Linked DNA regions of Macaca mulatta. Each later gene encodes a partner of the first gene's protein in a complex. Links are inferred from orthologs where the notes say so. Each region holds a gene or a part of one and is shown on either strand. Other genes may lie near its edges.

Region 1 (4,327 bases):
ATGATCACAGTGAGGGCTAATGATATGCATTACAAAGTCTACAAAAACAAATAAGGATTTTTATTTGCTGTACTTTCCACTCTTCCTTTAAAAACTTGCCATTTACTTATCAGTTCCTTTGGGGCTGACCCACTCACTCAAGACAAAGGATAAAGAACGAAAGATAGTCACCCAAGGTTCCAGGCCTGGAAGGGCAGAGAGGAGCTATGAACCTCGGAAGTCAAACAAGGTGCTCAGGAACTCACTGCCCAACATTTCGCTTCCCCACCCACTCCTTAGTGTTCCCCCTTTGGCAGTCATCTCTCTTTGGCTGTAAAGAGAAAAAGGGGGAAATGTGCCTTGTTTTGTGGGTATAAAGTATGACAACACAGCTCTGGCATCTCCAGCAGCAGGGGAGAACTCTAACTAAGGCAGAAGAGTTTCTTTACGAAAATCACAGTATATGATCACCTACGGTCTCCGTGGCCCATACAAGGACTCCTTAAGGTTCTCTCTAACATACAACCTATCTCCCACAACTCACTAGAGAGGTTTTATTCCCACTGGAATAGAAATCCTTTGCCTCATTTATTACAGTCTAAAAACCCACACTGGCTTTTTTATTCTTTCTAGCATGAGCTCAGACACTATACTTCAAAAGAATGCCCAGAAGCATTTTCTTAGGTAGAGACTAAGCTGTGGGCTAAGACTTTGGCCCCACATAGCTCACGTCAATTCTGCAGATGCCTCCTTTCCTCCCAATAAAAGCATCATAGCTCAGAGCTACAAGCTCCTTGAACGGAGAAAACCCAAATCACCCAGGAAAGTTGACACAACTCCTGATGTGCAGTATCAAGTGTGAATGCTGGAAATGCTACTTAAAAGGTTGACCAGGAATGGCCTGGAGGTTGTCTTCAACTTAAGTAAATCGCACAGACCTCAGAGATTTATCCTACCCTCATTCCTAGAACAACAACAAAAAATTTATATTTAAGAAATCCTCACTCATTACTATCACTGTATTCCTCGCTCTCTTACAATATACTGAGGAAAAAAGGATTTCTCCTTAACCTTCTACTAAAAACTAAAATTAAGGGGACCCTATAAACAAGTCAGGCAGCCAACATGATAATGGCAATTTTGGCAAAATATGACTGGGCTGAGTAGAGAGAGATCTCAGAGACAGCTAGCATTTGTTAGTCAAACCCCAGTATGAATAATTTAGTGCTCTTCATCAGATGAAAGGCCTTCAATTTCATCTCTGTCTCCCCCGATTGCCATCCAGAATGCTTTGGCCACCTGTGGAGAGAAGCATGCAACAAATGTTAGGCAACAGCTACATTTCAGCTTGTTTCATATGTTATGCCTTGAACTGACTGAGACCTACAATTCTGCACTTTGCCCTCCAGTCCTCTGGCAACACATATCAAAACCCTTGAATACCATTTGATCCATGATCGCCACATCTAGAAATTTATACCAATGATATATTTAGAGTTGTATACAAAGATGATGTGTAAGGATATGCACAGCTTCATTATTTATAGAAGCAAAAAATGCACATGACCTAAATGTCCAAAAGGGAACAGGATAAATTATGACACATTCATATCAGGGAACACCATCAACCATCCAAGTTTCCTGCCAATAACATGTGTTGGTAATAATATAACAAAACAACTAAGAGTCTTCTGGCCCAATAGTTAGAAAGGCAAACATTGTGAGTCTCAATGAAGGTTCCATGTCACTCACCATAGAGGTGAAAAATCTTGGTTTGAATGCAGCAACTATACTATTACTGTATAAATACTTAATTAGTTAGAAGTTAATATTCAATGAAAAGCTCACACTAAGACCTTCAGAAATACACAAGTGTGATATATAATTATAATAATAGCACTGGACCTTTTATAGGTACTCACTAAATACCCGGCTGATTGTCTCACCTTTTCTGCATGCACCTTTCTTTGCTCGTGAGGAAGTGTCGCAGCCTTGTCTAGGGGGAAAATGCATCTTAAGAAATTTGTCTAATAGCACAGGCCACGTAACACGTTGAAAGAAACAGAAGAAGGCAAAAGCAGGAAAAGTAAAAGGAAAGAGAATGAAGATGGAAATTTTTTTTTACCAAGTCCCACGAGTAGCTAAGTTTCTCAAGACAGCTGAGACCAGAACAAGGAATCCAATCCAGCAGTGAACAAAATAAAATGCTACTACATAAAACAGACAAGCATCAATACGGGAACATATTAGACACAAGGGATCCGATTACCTTTCATTTCCTTTAACTTTGAAAACAGTCTTTCAAAATTCTCCACATCTCCTCCTCCAGTAGTAAGACTGGCTAGTTCTTGAATATCCAGATCTAACATGGGATCTGAAATAGAGATTTGTCACATTATCTGTCACGTTATTTGCATATGTGCTACACTGAGAGAATCCTAAGGCAAATGATAGCCTTGATGAAGTCACCAATGATCGAAGGCCCAGTGTATATACCACCTTTACAGTTCATGGTGCCTCGCCCTGCTTGGCTGCTAGTGGGCCCTCACAAATGAAGCGTAACTATTTTATCCTCACAACATTGACATGAGGTAAGGAGTACTATTTCCATTCTAAAGATAAGAAAACCACAGCTTAGAGGTGAAGTGACTTGCCGAGGTCACAGCTAGTAAGTGGATCCAGACACAGGGGTTACCAACTCCAAAAGCATACTCACTCCACTAAGGTACATTGACTCACCAATAAATGACTAAAGTTTATACCATATTTTACTGTACAACAAATATTTTCACATCTATTATTGACAACAACTATAAAAGGTGATTAGAACAGATAACATTATCTGAGAATAACAGAAAATGATATGGAAAAAAAAACCTGTATCTAAAAATGAACTCATCTAAAATTACAGCTATTCAGAGGTAGAGCTGATTTAAATTCACATTTCCTTACTACTAATCTTTTACGGTTTCTACCTTGGCACACTGCTTCTTTATTAAAGTTTGTTTTTAATCAGAAATTTAACTTCTTCTCCATTCCAGGCCCACTACCTTCAGAATGTCTTCCCTGCCCATCCCAGTTTCACAGGTCTCCTTCCTTAGAATTCTTTCTACATTTACTGTTTCTAGAACTGTCTTAGCACTTGCATATATTACCTTTTATTCTAACATTTCTCCACCACTACTTTAATAAATACTACTACCATAAGAGAGAGAGTTTGCTTTGGATCTGCACCACTGAATGCTTTAACTTACATGGTCCCATTTCATCTTTGCAACAGCCCTATGAGGAAAGATTTGTCACCGTTATTTTACAGAAGAGGAAACTAACACCAACAGAGGTTAATTTACTCAAGGTCAGACCATTACTAGTGATAAAGCCATGATTTGAACCCAGCAGGGTTCCAATTACAGGACTCCAATGCCTATGACCTTAATCACTACATTATAGGTCCTATCTCTATATTTTTAGACTAAGCTCCATGAAGATAGGATGACTTATAATTATTTGCATCTATTACAATGCCATATAGACAATTTGGTGTTCAAAATGTATTTTGGTTAATATATTTGCTTTTGTTGAATGGACATGTTGTGTAGGAAGTTAGTATACAGGGCTGAAGATAAAAGTTTGTGATCTATCTGTGTATACATAGTAATTGAGCTGTTAATGCAGACAGAATCACTCCATGCCTAAATATAGATTTGGAAGAGTTTAAATGGAGCAATGAAGAATGTCAATATTTAAAGGCTGAGAAAAGGAGGGTATCTACCAAAGAAAGAGAAGGAATAATCAGAGAAGTAGGAAGAAAACCAGGTGACATCGTGTTGGGTGAGGCACGGGAAGATAATGTTTCAAAGAGGAATTGATCTGTAACACTGAATGCCGCCACAAGGTCAAGATGAGGACTGGAAAATATCTACCCGATTCAGTGGCATGGAGGTCATTGTTGGCCTTTGCACAGAGCTGCCGTAGTGGCATACCAGGGGCAAAAGACAGACAGGAGTGAGGTGAGGGGCAAATGGGAGGTAAGGAATAGAAATAAGTTTAGTAAAGAGATAAGGTGGAAGACATGGGATTGAGGAAGTGTTTGGTTTTTATTGATTTGGTTTTGCCTTAAATTTTTTTCTTAATTTATTCTTTAAAAAAAACTTGCAAAAATAGTATACAGAGTTCCTATATACTCTTCACCCACTTTCCCCAGTGTTAACATCTTATATGACCATGGTACAATTATAAAAATCAAGAAGTTAATATTGGTATAATGTCATTAACCACACCATAGACTTTATCAGTTTTTCCACTAATATCCTTTTTCTGTTCCAAGATCCTACATGGAATTTAGTTG
Region 2 (4,327 bases), on another chromosome or scaffold:
ATAAACTTAGTACACCAAGAGGAGAAAGAAAAGATGGTCTAGTTGTCTTATTGCTGTTATATACTGACCAACAACCTGAAATCCCTGAAGTAACATTTTAGGTCTTACAATATCATTTGCAAGGGGGAAGAAAAGGGAGGGAGGAAAAATTGTTTTAGAAATCTATCCAGTGTTCATCCTTATGAAAAGTGTTGCAACAAATTTGATAAAATTTGTTCAATATTGCAAATACTGCTCATTCTGTTAACGAGAATAACCAAAAAAAACTCTTCTGGAAGCAGATTATCATAACACTTAACAAAAATCTTCAGTGAGTAAGGGAAGAGGGTATTAAGAGAAGAAAATGCTTTCTAAATCCAGTGATTTATTTCTTGAGACTGTTAACTGGATTAAATGTTTTGGAACATTTGCTATCAGATCTGGCCCACAGCTGTTACAAGTTAAGCGGTGGGGGTATAAAGTGAGTCACAAAGCATGGTCTCAACAGAATTGCAATTTGGTGGTCGAGCAAATTGGGTGCCAATGAGGGACACTCCAAGGTCATTCCTTGTTGCTGGAGAACTCTCAGGTATATAAAAAGGGAAATGTAGCCTGGAGGCGGTGGCTCACGCCTGATGTTGGGAGGCCAAGGCAGGCGGATCACCCGAGGTCAAGAGTTCAAGACTAGCCTGGCCAACATGGTGAAACTCCATCTCTAATAAAAATATAAAAATGAGCCAGGCATGGTGGCGGAGGACTGTAATCCCAGCTACTCTGGAGGCTGAGGCAGGAGAATCACTTGAACTCGGGAGGCAGAGGTTGCAGTGAGCAGAGATCATGCCATTGTACTCCAGCCTGGGCAACAAGAGCAAAACTCTGTCTCAATAAATAAATCAATCAATAAAAAAGGGAAGTGCAATAAGGCTGGAGGAGTGGTCAGGGATCCATGCTTTGAAAGGTTAAACGACAGGCTAAGGAGATTGACTTTATTTATTGTACATGATGGAAAGTGGCTGTGAAGGAATGCCACACCTATATCTGGGTTTTTTAAGGAAGATGGTAACTCATAAGGCAAGAGGGCGAACAGAGAAAAGCTCAGAGGCATAAAAAGCCAGGTAGGATGTTTAAGAGAAAAGCAAAATTGAAATTCCAAGTGAACCTATACCAGTGAGAGTGGAAAGAAGGAAATGAATGTCAGCCCAATTTGAATAGATAGAGGCAGATTCCGGTAAAGTGTAGAAAAAGACAAAAGAAACAGCATCCTTTTGCACGGAAGGATCCTGGAACATAACAAATTCCAATCACAAGACAGAACAGATTTTCAGTAGATGAGTTTGGTTCTGGACCATGAGAAGCCCAGTGAAGACTGTCACCAACCAGGGGAAGAAGAGTCACATAGTAAGGGATTTCCAGGGCAGAGAGTCAGTACACACAGAGTTAGGAAGAAATGAGGGCATTTAGGGATGGCTGAGTGGAAGAAACCAAGGAGGGGCCTTCAGAAATAACAGGACAAGTGTCAGCAGAAATCAATGTCATGGCAAAATCAAGAATTTAAAGAAAGCGTCATGGTGAACAAGGGTACGGTGCTGCAGCGAGAAGCAGGTGAAGGCAGGTGAAGACTCAAGAGGAATCGCTGGTGTCAACCCACAGGAGGGTTCAGTGGTAACTTGCTGATTTCCTTGGAGAGTCAAGATGGACCCATGCTGTAAGCACGGCCAAGTGAATGAGTTCTGAGGACAGGAGCACCTAGTATAGCATATCGCTTGGCAGAAAGTGCAAAAAGATTATTGAATAACAATGTGAAAGAAAAGGATCTGGTTTTGTTGTTTGTTGCTATTTTTCTTATGCATAAATAACTAAGAATACTTATAGCTTAGAAAAAAAGCCAGAGAAAGGATAAAAAGTCAAAACAGAAAAGAGATGACAATGTCAATGAAGTATAAAGAACAGAATATCAAGAAATCCTTCAGAGTTAAATTCTGGTTCACTGAAATAAGGTCTCTGGTGCATTTGTAGTTTGAAGATAAAGATATATCCACCTCTCGAAAGCTTTGGGTGGCCGGGCGTGGTAGCTCATACCTATAATCCTAGCTCTTTGGGAAGCTGAGGTGGGAGAATTGCTTGAGGCCAAGAGTTCAAGACCAACCTGGGCAATATAGCAGGACCCTGTCTCTATTTAAAAAGGAAAAAGGAAAGCTTTGGGTCTTTCATTTACTGAGAATTACAGGTAGGGAGAAAAGTCTTGTATTCTAATCTTAGGGGACTAAGGTGATCTTTGGTTCAAGTTCAATTCATATTTTAGATGTGAGAGAGAAAAGGAATGCGATGAGAGACAGAACTGAAGTAAGAGCTGAGATGGGGACTGTAGCTAATCCTAACCGACAAGGACAACACTTACATTTCCAAAATATTTGTCCAGCAGCTCCACGTAACGATGCACAATCTCTAGCGTCAAGAGCTCATTGTCCTGATTTTCTATTGCACAGCAAAAATATAAACTAGCATACCTTGAAATGAAAAATAACAAAAGGAAAATATGACGATACATTAAGCAACCTGGAGACAGTTTTTCCCGTGAATATGTAAAGTCACCTCCTCCCCCCCGAGCCTCTCCTCATCCAAGAATGAAATCATTATTCATCACCCCCAATAGCCTCCTGAAATATAAATCAGAAAATATGAAAATGCTGTGGGGGTTGGATTACTTCCGTTAATTATGCATGAAAGGCTCTCAACAAAATTGTACCTTGAAGAGCTATTATCAGGAGGACAGTATCCTTTCACCCCTGGTAATCAGGGTGTCGTCACACCCCTCTCCAGCTTGTCAATTGTTTTTTGTAAAATAGAAAGCCCTGACCAGGGCTGTCAGGAGCCCACGCTCCCCACTCTCCCGCTTCACAATGGACTTCAGTCATTCTGTGTGGGCCTCCCTCCTCAACTTGTCAGACTCCAACCTTGGGCCCAGCAGATGGAGCTTTGCAGGCACTTGCTGGTAATTTAGTCCATTGAATATCAGTCTGTGAAGGTTACCTCTGTTTTTCCCAATGAGTTTTATAGACACCCTTTGCAAGAGCATATCTAAGGAGCATAACTCCTTCCAGGAGTTGCAGTGGGGTGTTGCATACAAGGTCAAGTTAGCTGTGTTCTGTTCCTGGCTTAGGCATCAATTACCTGGGTCTCCAAGGGCAAAATCATGTTACCTCTCAGGCTTAGTTCTCTCACCTATGGTGGGTCCTTTCTAGTAATGGTCTTGCCGTGGCAAGCAGGTATGGTAAAAAGAATACGCAGGCTTTAAAGCCAAAAGGATCTGGATTTGAAGCCTGGCTCTAGCAATTAACACTCAATTACTGTGACTGGGAACTGACTACTAAAACTCTGTGTCCTCAATGTACTCATTACAAATTCAAGTAATAGGCATAATAAGAGCTGTCCCACCGAACACAACCCCATTTCTGAAAATATTTTATTTGGTTACTTAACAAATATGTATACTACATGACAGCAGGAATGTCATCTGTCTTGTTCACTGATGTATTTACAGCCATTAGAACAATGCCAGGAAAGGCCGGGCATGATAGCTAACACTTGTAATCTCAGTGCTTTGGGAGGCCGAGGCAGGTGGATCACCTGAGTTGATCACCTGGAACTCACAGGAGTTCCAGACCAGCCTGGCCAACATGGTGAAACCCCATCTCTCTTAAAATACAAAAATTAGTCAGGCATAGTGGCAGATGCCTGCAATCCCAGCTACTTGGGAGGCTGAGGCAAGAGAATCGCTTGAACCCAGGAGGTAGAAGTTGTAGTGAGCCGAGATCATGCCATTGCACTCCAGCCTGGGTGACAGAGTGAGATTCCATCTCCAAAAAATTCAAAAAGAACAATGCCGGGAATGTAACAGGTTTTCATACCACTTTTCTTAAATGCATGCATGCACTATCAAGGTGTAGTTTATTTACCTAGAATCCTGAATCCTGGCACCTAGAATTTCTTTCAATAAAATGAGAGTTATTTTCTAGTTAGTCTATTGGTACAAATATCTGGGCTCCAGCCTTCAAAGATTTCAGTAAGTGATGGAATTGCTATATAGCAATCTAAAATGTTCAGGATTAGAACAAACCAAAGCAAGACTGAGAAACTGAGCTCTCAAAAAGTTACTCACACCTTTTATAAACAAGTTTTAGTTCCTTCCAGTCAACAAAACTGCTTGTCCTGTGACCACGGGAGAGAATAATCTGAACAATTTCCCGGGTGATCTTCTTCCTCTCTTTGTCAGGCAGAGTGATGTACCATTTCTGTAGCCGTAATTTCCCTTGTCGACTGAAGAGCAATATGAAATGTATCTAGAACA

Evidence for each region. Proteins that work in one complex are often made in the same cells at the same time.
Region 2: the proteins of AAGAB (region 1) and AP1S3 are in contact, whole or in part, in a crystal structure (PDB 9DDT), measured with the Homo sapiens proteins. The link is inferred for Macaca mulatta from reciprocal best matches to the Homo sapiens genes AAGAB and AP1S3. Residues at the interface, in NP_078942.3 of Homo sapiens: Asn51, Lys52, Tyr53, Tyr54, Glu108, Val109, Met110, Ile111, Gln128, Ile132, Gly135, Phe136, Glu137, Asp151, Phe153, Pro154, Glu155, Arg161, Gln164, Ala165, Asn167, Ala168, Asn169, Val170, Met176; in NP_001034658.1 of Homo sapiens: Arg10, Gln11, Lys13, Arg15, Gln37, Leu40, Ser41, Arg61, Tyr62, Ala63, Ser64, His85, Val88, Asp92, Phe95, Val98, Glu100, Leu101, Asp102, Ile104, Phe105, Asn106.

What each region holds. Positions count from the first base shown.
Region 1 is NC_133412.1:44,727,075-44,731,401, forward strand, and holds part of AAGAB (alpha- and gamma-adaptin-binding protein p34), read right to left. Parts: intron 2,354-4,327; coding exon 2,249-2,353; intron 1,976-2,248; coding exon 1,926-1,975; intron 1,279-1,925; coding exon 1,201-1,278; 3' UTR 1-1,200. UniProt on the Homo sapiens protein: May be involved in endocytic recycling of growth factor receptors such as EGFR.
Region 2 is NC_133417.1:129,025,962-129,030,288, forward strand, and holds part of AP1S3 (AP-1 complex subunit sigma-3), read right to left. Parts: intron 4,320-4,327; coding exon 4,141-4,319; intron 2,487-4,140; coding exon 2,378-2,486; intron 1-2,377. UniProt on the Homo sapiens protein: Subunit of clathrin-associated adaptor protein complex 1 that plays a role in protein sorting in the late-Golgi/trans-Golgi network (TGN) and/or endosomes.